Linked DNA regions of Drosophila melanogaster. The gene in region 1 interacts genetically with each later gene. Each region holds a gene or a part of one and is shown in the gene's direction. Other genes may lie near its edges. The genes, in order: ct, Nipped-B and Ssl1.

What was found.
Region 2: of ct (region 1) and Nipped-B, changing one enhances a phenotype caused by changing the other (phenotypic enhancement), as found in Drosophila melanogaster (2 studies listed by BioGRID).
Region 3: of ct (region 1) and Ssl1, changing one suppresses a phenotype caused by changing the other (phenotypic suppression), as found in Drosophila melanogaster (one study listed by BioGRID).

What each region holds. Positions count from the first base shown.
Region 1 is NC_004354.4:7,607,134-7,610,888, forward strand, and holds the start of ct (cut), read left to right. Parts: upstream 1-2,014; 5' UTR 2,015-2,282; coding exon 2,283-2,405; intron 2,406-3,755. UniProt on the Drosophila melanogaster protein: Regulator of cell fate decisions in multiple lineages. Specifically, functions as a determination factor that specifies sensory organ identity in precursor cells. Probably also involved in cell type specification of Malpighian tubules.
Region 2 is NT_033778.4:4,727,292-4,731,046, reverse strand, and holds the start of Nipped-B (Nipped-B), read left to right. Parts: upstream 1-2,029; 5' UTR 2,030-2,268; intron 2,269-2,495; 5' UTR 2,496-2,547; coding exon 2,548-2,614; intron 2,615-2,695; coding exon 2,696-2,867; intron 2,868-2,922; coding exon 2,923-3,038; intron 3,039-3,093; coding exon 3,094-3,253; intron 3,254-3,312; coding exon 3,313-3,755. UniProt on the Drosophila melanogaster protein: Plays a structural role in chromatin. Involved in sister chromatid cohesion, probably via an interaction with the cohesin complex.
Region 3 is NT_037436.4:22,877,093-22,880,847, forward strand, and holds the start of Ssl1 (suppressor of stem-loop mutation), read left to right. Parts: upstream 1-1,996; 5' UTR 1,997-2,056; intron 2,057-2,113; 5' UTR 2,114-2,273; coding exon 2,274-2,338; exon of another isoform or gene 2,339-2,391; coding exon 2,392-2,733; exon of another isoform or gene 2,734-2,785; coding exon 2,786-3,695; 3' UTR 3,696-3,755. Other genes in the region: Chro (chromator), read right to left, coding at 1-296, 358-783, 845-902.

The sequences.
Region 1 (3,755 bases):
CGAGCAGATCCAAGCCCCCAATATTCCCCGTACACCCCATTTACCAACAATTTTCCACCCAAATCCTAACCGCTTTTCAACCGATTTTCCTCTCAGACTGCAGCAACGCATCTGCGACTGCGACTTGGGTTCTCAGTCTCAGTTTAGGTGTAAGCCATAACCCCTTGGAAAATCCCAACCACATCGCCCCTCCCCGCCCAGCAGAAATCATGGGGTTTAGTAGAAAAATAGGGAGTGAGAATACCAAGGGGGTCGGGGGCGTCTGCATTGCACTTGGCGCTTCGATACAATTTGAACTTTTCTTTATGCGAAAATCCCGCAACGGGACTGCAAATTCCAGGGGTTTGCGGAAAAACACAAAATAACGGGAGGCTGAGAAGGGGCTTACTCTCCAATTTAATATTCCATGGATTTTTGAAGAGCCGAACAGAGACAGCCAGCCAAGGGACTTAAGTTAGGAATGCAATTTAAGGTGCATCATAAAGTGGCGGAAATTTGGAAAGGACAGATTGTTTCTAAATGTTACATTTACCTCTAAAAAAAAACATAAAAATTAAATTAAACAACAAAACATAGAATTGTTTGTTGCATTTAGCTTAATTTACACTTCGTATTTACTTTTTTATTTCCATCACTTTCTACTATTGTTTACTATGTTCGAACATTTGATGAATATAGCAGCTGCTTTTAATTCTAAGACTTATCTCGTGGAACTTTTAGTTCTTTAGTTCTTAACTTTAAAACTTATCAGTTTCAGAATAATACTTGAATTCCAGGTAAATCCCCCTAAAGCCAAAAAATATTACAACTTTCCGAAATATCCTCAATCTCAATCCCTCCGCCAGCGTCACAGTCGACGTTGCACTCAATCCTGCGCTCAATAAGCAACAACAACAAGCAGTAGTGGAGAGAGGCGAGCGCCTGGCTCTTTCGTTTCCAATAAGAAAAGCGATGTGCGAGCGGGAGGGCACTAGCCAAAGTGTCTGTGAATGAATGAATTTCAATACATGCAACTGACATGCGACGGCGCAGAAAAATGCTCAAAAATAAGAGTAAAAAAAAAAGCCGAGAAGGAAAGCGCAAAAAAAGTGAGAAAATCAAAAAGCTATTGAAAGAAATCAAAAGCAGTGCACGGGAATTGAGTGAGATTCTCTTGCGCGGAGCGTGAGAGAGCGAGCGAGAGAGTTGCGCTGCATGAGTGTGTTGTGTGTTTGTGGCGCCTCTGTCGCTGCCAACGCCGCTGTCGGCGCTCTCTGCGGCAGAGGGTTGTCGGCGCTTCGTTAACGTTCGATTTGTTCAGTCATCAACAGCATTCGTGACTGGCAACGTCGTTTCGTTCGTCCGTCGCCGAAAGAAATCGAGAATTTCAGAAGATTTTTGGATTCTACTGCCCCACAAGGCAGTGCAGCTTCTTCTTCTTAGCCGCGGCGCGGGTGTGTGTGCGTGTGTGCCCCTCTCTCTCACTGTGTGTGTACGTCGTGTGTGTGTGTGTGCAGAAGAATCCCCCCACCCACTTCATACAAAAAATTCATAAAAAAATAATTGCAAAAGAATGAATCTCGCTTGCCAAGAAGAAGAAACGTATTGATCATATTTATAAACAAAACAGCACACAGCCAAACAAATCAAAAAGGACTAAACGAACGTATAATATAACTGTTTATTATTTTTTTCAAGTGCATTTTTGTTCGCTAAAATATGTGCGCGTGTATGAGTGTCAAGTGTAAACAACAACAGCAACATCAAAAGCAACAACAGCGACAGCAAACATGTGCAAAATAAGCCACAGCCAAAAAGCAACAACATAATGATAATGGCTTGAAAAAATCACACACACAACAACAACAGGCAACAACCAAAACAACAACATCATACCCTCACCATTCAACAAACGACTACAACAAAATCCCCCACACAACAACAAGAAGAAACCCCCTTCCAAAAAAATCAAAAAAAATTCTTTTTCGGAACTAAAGTGAACAAAATATAAAACATAACATAACCATAATAATAATAATAATAACACACAGAAATTGGCTTATTTATGCATTTTTTTGAGCACGTAACAAGAAACATACTACTTAAGGTGTAAATGTGATGACTAAAAACGAAAACCGAATTAAATAACAACTAACTAACAAGTAAAATCGAAACGACAACAGAACAGAATAATGCCAGGCCTTATTAGCCCCAAATTGGTAGAATCCAAAAACTGAAAACCCCAAAAAAACCTAAGCAAAAACTGACTGAGAATTATTGAATTAACCCAAGAAAGCCCACGAATGCAGCCAACATTGCCACAAGCCGCTGGGACAGCCGATATGGATCTGACGGCTGTTCAATCAATCAACGATTGGTTTTTCAAAAAGGAGCAAATTTATTTATTGGCACAGTTTTGGCAACAGGTAAGAAAAGTTAGCAAAACGATGGAAAACGGTGCTTAAAAGCAAGAAGTTTCGTGTTTCAAGAATAATAATATGAATATAGTTCAATGAATTGGCCAAACAAGCTGAGATTACGGGTTCGTAAAATGTTCGGTGCAAAAGTGTTTTATCTTCTGTTCTCACTTTTATTCGCATTGACAAACAGTCTTACGTTTATATTACATGCAAGGTGTATCTTATTTTTGTCAACAAAAAGATGAAATTACACCTGTTATATGTAGCATAAAATTTGATACTTGCGTTTTCTAACTTTATATGAATGAAATGAATTCGATTCATACAGTATTGTGTATTCAAAGTGAAAAGTTTAGGGAGCGTAACGCGAAAAGCCCGAAAGCCTTTAAAACGTTATAAGCTAAAATTAGAACTTTCCATACATTGATTAGACTAAAAAGTCATATACAAATTTGCAATTATCATTGTAACTAAACAGTGAATAGTTCCCGAGTTCTGTGATATTCGTTGCATTTCACTGGAAACTCCCACAGCTGACAACAATAACCCTAGTGCGCCCAGCCGCCCACTTTAACCCCACACAGCCCCCATATTTTGGCCCCGCAAACTGCTTAACTTAACTTAAGTTAACTAATTGAGTTTGCGTGTCTATGGCAAATGTGTTTTTATTGTTGCTGGCCCGTTATTGTTGTCTAATTTCTTGTTGTAAATTTATTTATTTTTTCTGCTATTATTGATTTCTGAAAAAAAATTTGTTTGCACAAAACAAAAACAACAAATGCAAAGTGCAACAAGCAAGTAATAAGTGAACAGTTTATTGCTTGAATAACTTTTTTTTTTTTTGAAGCGTTTTTTTTTCTGTTTTCTACTACCAGTGAACCGAAAAAGATAAAGCCAGACAAGATCGGCCAGACGGAAGAGACAATTCAGATGGGGGTTTCGCTGTAAAAGGGGGCGTGGAAAATCGGGAGGCGGGGGCCAGACGATGCTGAGAATTTCGCTGGCCAAATGCCAGACTCCGAACAAATAAGGCGGCAAAATAACATTAGAGGCCAAAAAGGGGAAAAGAAAATCATCTGCCAGACCAGACATGGAAATATCAACTGCTGTATATATTTTTGAATATTTCTATATATAAAAATACTCTCTATATGGTTTGGCAAGTTAATTAGGTTGCGTCGACAGCCGGGCAAATTTTTTAATTGGAGTTTCTTCTTCGATTGATCGTGAAAAGCGAGAGACGCGCACAGTGAAAGACAGACATGGAAAAATTCCCGGAAAATCTAGACATTTGCCGTCGGTGAATGGCGTTTTTTCCCGCTCCACAAATATTTTTGTACAAGATATGGCGATGCA
Region 2 (3,755 bases), on another chromosome or scaffold:
GGAGGAGCAGGCAATAAAGGAGGCCAAGGAAATCAAGGAGGAGCCGGAATTCAGGGAAGTGGTCAAGGATTCAGAGGTCGCAATGCTGGTAACAATCAAGGTGGCGGTTTCTCCGGAAGCCCGCAGAACCAGCAGACAACCGAAACCGTAGTCGGTAGTAGCGTGGTCCACGCCCTGGCGGAGGTGCAGGTGGCACGATGAACAGCACCAATATGGGTGGTGGTAGCGATGGAGATGGTGGTCCGCGCGGCTGTGAAGACTTCATCATTTAACATCGGTTTCGCAGGATTTCTGGGCCCACCTTTGAACTGGAAACAGTGGAAGTGCCCACGGAGACGAAGTTCTCCCATCGAAATCGTCTCTATGTGGGCAACCTGACCAATGACATCACCGACGCTGAGCTACGCGAGACGTTCAAGCCATACGAGCCATACGATTAGCGAGATCTTCTCGAACCTGGATAAGAACTTTAAATTCCTAAAGGTCGACTATCATCCCAATGCCGAGAAAGCTAAACGCGCCCTGGACGGATCGATGCGAAAGGGTCGCCACGATTCGCACCGAATGTCATTTTGCGGGTGATTTTGCGGAAGAAATCTCACACCGATACTTAAAACCATCGATAGTATCGATAGTTCCATCGATGGTTTTCCAGCTCTATTACAAACAATAATACCAACTGGGTCTAGTTTAAGAAAATTTCTGTTCCCACACTGAACTTTGCTCCTGAATTGTGTTTTCACTTGACGGACCCACGCGTCCGCGTCCTGACTTTGAGACTCCCGCCCATACACTGCTCGACTACCCTCGTGCACTTATTACTCACTACATGCTTTAGCTGCCTGGTCCAGAGGCGCTGCTGCCGTCTATAGGCTGTTTTATTTTCCCGTTACGCACGGCTCGCTAGAGTCCAAGGTCCACGTGTCCAGTAAACACCTTTACCGTTCGACCTCTGTGCCCTTGGCCGGTCTCTCCGCTTTACCGGGGTCCAAGGTCCAATCTTCAGCGTTTGACCTGACTCCTCCCGCATTACTGCTTTCTGCTCTGTTCTCCTGGACTTATTGTGAGTTTTAAGACCCCTCACAGTATTGCTGTTTTGCAGCAGGGGAGAGAAAAAGAATACGTATGCATATACGATATATACGTTGAGTATGCCCTAAGCCTTTGGTAAGCGTGGAAAGGCTGATTATGCATTTATATTTGGTGGCCGTAAATTGGGTGCCCACCTCCGCCGAATCCGCCTACCGACTCATTTAGTCTCCCTTTGTGAACCGGTATGTGCGCGCTTTGTAAGCAATTTTTTTAGGCCAATTTTTTTCACACTCTCGCACACTCAATGTAAGGTAAGTTTTTAGTAAGTGAGCAAACATGCTCAATAAAACGACGCTATGTGGCGCTTTTCGACTATAATTCGATTGATCGAGCTCTGCAGGTACCGGCTACGAGCTCCACATTTATTGCCAATTGTTCTTCAATCGTTGAATTATTAATTCACAAAATATTTCTCATGTATGAGAAGGACAATTGACTTTACCAAGACGCAAATTTGTTTTAAGCCTGTAGAAAATAATTTTACGTATAATTGCACAAAAAGGTAAGGTAATCATATATCATATATCAATAATTTGTTTTCCCAAGATCCATGATCTGGAAGAAATGAACTAAAACAAAATCGATTTATTCGCATACAATTGCACATCCTTGAATATTCATATCTTGTAAGCATACGCATTTCATATGGAAAAAGAGATTATGCGATATCGGTTGTTTTGCCGTTTTGAACGGCATTTCCTAATGAAGACCTTTTTATCGACTCGTTTTCACTGTTAACATTTATTGAAATAAGTATCGGGACAGGAGAAGTAGCTTCAAGTCGGTAATGCCCTAAATTGCAATAAAACATTTTTCTTTTAGAAATATCTTTCAAACATCCAAGCTCTCTACGTTTTATTGAGTTGGTGTGTAACTACATAGTCTGGAAAGGAGTATTATATATGAAGTATTAACGTTTCGGTCTGAAAAGGTATTTTTTTATTAAGTTTAGCGCGGCCACACTATCCTACAGGTCGGCCATATTCTTCAAACACTATTTCGCAAACTAAAAAATTACAAGTACTTATTATTGTAAATGTATAAGTTGGTATTTAATTAAAACGCAAAGGAGAACCGGAGTAATTCGTTTATATTGAACTGTGGCAATTCGTTAATAATTGTTGATCGCAATAACATAACGGTAAATGGTAATGCTACCGCAATTTTTTTAACTACGTAAGTAGTTGTTTATTATAAATCAATTTAAAGGGATTTATCTAATAGATTTTTAATTTATAAACTAAAAAGATAAGATAGTACATAAAGTGACTTATAATACAGCTGGACAACATCCATATATTTTAATATATTCATATAAACATTGTTTCCAATTACATTGTTTATCATGTTGATGAAATAATGTTTGGTTGTAGCGTAATGAATAATAGATTTATTTTTTTTAGCTCCTAGAATCAAAGTTGTGTTGTAATCTATCGGATTATCCTTACATTTAATATGGGGGAACGTGACAACCCAACCGTACCTGTAACAACATTAGCTGGTTTAACCAGCACTTCTGATTGTAAGTATTTTCTGTGCAAGAAAATATAATGTGTATGTACAAGTTTAAAAACTTTTAATATTTTTCTCGTTTAAATGCAAGTGCTAAGCGAGCTACCAGTGGCGGATTCGCTCCAGAGTGCTGCGTCCTTAAATAAATCTTTATTGTTCCATGCTTTGGTAGCTAACGAGTCTAGCAATTTACTTTCTATGCGAAACGAAAATCTAGTTCGACAATTGGTAACTGCCATTGAGAGAACAAACTCCGATAATATGTTAGTTGTTTAATTGATTGTATGTTTTGCTTTATTAAAATAACTTGTATTTTAGAGAGTTAATACATTGCCCAGTTCAAGACACAGCAACTAACTGTAGTACTTATCCTGAGCTTCTCCAGGGAATATATCATTTTCGCCCAGCGGTTTTTAACACTTCCATAAAAATACGTATGTTTTAATAATAAAAGCAACCATTTGTGTATTACATGAATTTCATCCACAGACTCTCCGGACCAACATACTGCTAATGCTCGATTAGAGGCAAAGAAAATGCAAATTGATTCCTATTCAATACCGGAATGTTATGCATCACCAACAAATTTGTCGATTTCAAATGAACATCAATTGCAAGACGCTCAAGCCTGCTTCAATCAGCTTACTAGGTGGCGTATATATTTTATTATTCTACAAGCCTTATATTTAATGCATTTTTCTGTTTTAGTATGACCTCAAAAGAAATCTTAGAAGAATTTTCACAAATAAATTTTAAGGAAAATGCAACAGAAAAAGATAAAATTGACGTTATTGAAAATTCAGATTTAAATGTGACTAAGATACTTTCACAAAATACTCTAAAAAAAAAGTCTAACACACCAGAAAGAAGTACGGTGCAATCAATACAAGAACAGTTTTTTATTCAGCAACAAGAAGCCAATTATAATTTAAAACATGATTTAAACCAAGTATCAACAAATGTTGGTCAAATTCAAAATATTTCTGATACTTTTCCCCAAGAGCCGTCAAATTTTAATTTAAATTCTGTAAATATCCCAAACATGTTATATGTACAAAGTCCACCTTTCACTGAATCAGAACCAACTCAAGCACACCACTCTTCAATTGAATATTTAAAAAAAAAAAAATCACAAATTCTTGACGTCAGCA
Region 3 (3,755 bases), on another chromosome or scaffold:
GAGATTGGCCATCACCTCCCAGGTGTTTTCATGATGCGAGCGATCAACCCACTTAACCAAATACTCGTGGGTCTTACGGCGCGGATTGAAGCGCTTAGCGACAATCTTTTCCACTGGCTCTTCGGTGCGCTGATCTGTCTTGGAATCGATCCTAATGGCTATGCGGTTGTTCGGCTTCACGGCTCCGGCAGAGGGAACTGAGGAAGGCGTTGGTGTACTCGGCTTGGACTTGGGTCTTTCGTTTTCTGTATCCTTTAGTTGATTGGCTAACGTAGGCAGCTTACCGGTTGGTGATTCTGTTGATTTAAATATAGTTTAATAACAAGTGTGACTTTTATTTAGAATGTTTTGTATTACTTCTGGTAGGGGAGACGCTCGTGTTGTTGTTGTTGCTATTTGATGTGTTGTTATTGTTTGGATTGACCACAGTCTTTGTTATTCGCACAGGCATGTCCTGGAGTTGTCCGTGTGCAATTTTGCCGAATGACTGTATGGTCTTCCCAGCCACAATCCACGGCTCGCGGACGCTATCGTCTAGTTTTACCCAATGCTGGTACAAGGCCCACGAGCTGCCGGACGCGTCCTTGCGCGAGTGCAGCTGAGTAGCTTTCCATAGCGTAAAAGCCCAGATGGTGGGCTTGGGATCGAGCGATTCCTTCAAATTTGCATTTTCCTTTTCGCAGGCGTCCTCTTTGTGGGCCTGAAACTCTTCCACGAAGTTGTAGGCCCGGAGACATCGTCCACATACAAGAACGTCCATGTTTGCCAATTCCTCCTGTGCAGCTGCAGGGCAGAACACAAAATTAACAATAAAAATTATTTACCAATGTTTTTAGTCACTCACCTCTTATAATGTTTGCGTGTTTGCCGATTTCCGTAGGTGAAATCTCCTGTGCCAACATTATTCACGACTCCAGCGCCCAAGCCTTTGAAGAGAGCATTTAAAGTGTGACTTAAAAATAGTGCTGAATGGAGTCTTATTATTTGTTATTGCTTGGTTTTGAAATATTGGTAAACGGCGAAGAAAAAGTACAGTGCCGTGGTGTGTTTGTGCTAACTTGAACCAGGTGGCAACGCGAACGGTCGCTGTCTGCGGTGTGTGTCCGATATGGTGAGTTCAAGCATATGTACATCTGCAATGGGCAAAATGCAGCGGCGCTTAGGCAGCCGAAAAAAAACACTAAGTACATTATGAAAAGAACGAGCCTGCCGCACTGTTGTAGATATATAATATAATAAAACACAGAAAAGCACGAACTATGCGTAATGCGACTTTATTAGTTACTTAAACTTATCTGTTACAAATGCATTTGAACTTCAACACAGCTAAAAATTAAAATAAATAAAACCCTATGGTTCGATCCTATTTGTTTTCATTTAAAAAAAAGGATTACATATAGTTTAAATAATATCAAAGTTCACAATTTCATTTTGCCCGCTAAACCTTGCAGGCACTAGATATAGGCCAGGTATGATTGCAAATAAGCCTATTCCACATATCATTAAATTAAAAGATTTCTCTAGAACACTTTGGTACACACCTTCATAAACAATTTTGGATAAATATCAAACTGAATGTTGTTTCAAACGGTTATTTTAATTTAACTGACTCCCGATTTTTCAACACGAGCAGCTCCACTGCTGCTCACAGTTGTACGCGCGAACTCTGAATGCCAAAAGCGAAATTCGGCTGCACGGAAATTGTCCAGAGATGATTTGGTTCCGGCTGTGCGGACCTTAGAATGCTCTTCTGTGCTAAGCTATTTAAATCCTAATATTACTGGGAGTGTATTGCCTGTCGATAGCTTTAAACTAACTGCAGTCCAGTAAATTTTAAGATTTCGAAGGTTTTTTCGAATATAGTATATGATATAAAACGCGGGTTTCAATGCTTGCACGGTTTTAAGTGCCCAAACTTAGGGTGTAGCGCCCTTTTCAGTTCGCCCGTGTGGCGGTGCACTTAGTTAGCCAATTACGCGTCGTGGTGGGTATATTTATTGATGTGGCAACTTTGGGCGCAATAATAATAATATTGTACTTTTTTTGTTCATATTAGGTAAGAAATTCGAAATTATTTTTTATTATTTCATTTTATTATGTCATTCTTTTGTAGATATTTATTGATATAAATACTTACCCAGGGTTGCCACCCAGTGTATTGTATTTAACGTAGGCCCTGTGTGTACACACTGTTACATTAGCCGGCGCATTTTATTTAGCGTTAATTGCTTTTCTTTCTTGATTTGACTTGGTAGTGCATCAGGACTGCAAGTATGGCCGACGATGAGCAAGAGGACCAGAAGGAGTACCGCTGGGAAACGGGCTATGAAAAGACATGGTGCGATGGTGTGCGTGACAATGTAAGCCCGCACTTACTTTTAATCCTATTAGGGAGGCCATCAAGGACGACGAGGATGGGATGCTGGATGGAGCCATTGCAGAGATCATTCAGAAGGCCAAACGCCAGAGGCAGGCTCAAAAGTCCAAGCAGAACCGCCTGGGCATGATGCGCCACATGTTCGTTGTGCTCGATTGCTCTGAGTCCATGAGCGTGCCTGATTTGAAACCCACACGACTGCGGTGCACCGTCAAGCTGCTGGAGCTGTTTATCGAGGAGTTCTTCGATCAGAACCCCATCAGCCAATTAGGACTCATAGCGCTAAAAGCTAAGCGAGCGGAGAAGGTGACCGAACTTACCGGCACTTCGCGCGTGCACCTCAAAGCGCTAGAGAGGTAAGAACCGAATCAAACCAGCGTTCTCCATTTATATCCCCTTTTTGTTTAGCTTGGCTAACGTGTCCTTGACCAGCGAGCCTTCGCTGCAAAATGGCCTAGATCTGGCCCTAAAATCGCTTAAGGTGGTGCCGTCGCACGCCTCCCGAGAGATCGTCATTATCATGGGCTCGCTCACCACATGTGATCCTGTCGATATTAACCTCACCATCGACGAGTTAAAAAAGGAGGGCATACGCTGCTCGGTTATTTCCCTGTCCGCTGAGATTCACGTGGCCCGCTACCTCACTCAGCAAACAATGGGCACCTTCGGGGCTGTTTTGGATGATGCACATTTTCGGGATCAACTCATGTCTCAGGTAGATCCACCGCCCGCCGCTAAGACTCAGCACAACTCGCTTATTCGCATGGGCTTCCCGCACACAAAGAATGAAGTTGAGGGCAAGGACGCGCCATTGTCCATGTGCATGTGCCACATAGAGAACTTGGAGGAGCCCAGTGAACTGACCACTACTGGCCACCACTGCCCGCAATGCAACAGCAAGTACTGCGAGCTGCCCGTGGAGTGCCAGTCTTGCGGCCTCACCCTGGTCTCCGCGCCGCACTTGGCGCGTTCCTACCACCACCTTTTCCCGGTGCCAAATTTTGAGGAACTGCCGTTTGAGGCGATGCCTGCTTCGTCATCCGACCTCACCAGCGATGTCAGGGAATGTTACGGCTGCGCCAAAGCTCTTGGGCAAGGCGTTGACAAGGTCGCCGATAAAGTCGTCTTCAGATGCGGTTTCTGCAAGCAGTTCTTCTGCGTTGACTGCGACATCTTCATTCACGACACATTGCACGCCTGCGTGGGATGCAACACCATTCCCGGCGTAGACGGTCTGGTTTACCAGCAAAGTTCCAAGTCTGACCAGGTTGATGCACACCCAGGGCCCTCAAAGCAGCGCGGCCAGTGTGGGATGTAACTGACTTTCTATAGATAGATATTTCGAACTTCCACATAACTACGCATTTGGGGCAAACAA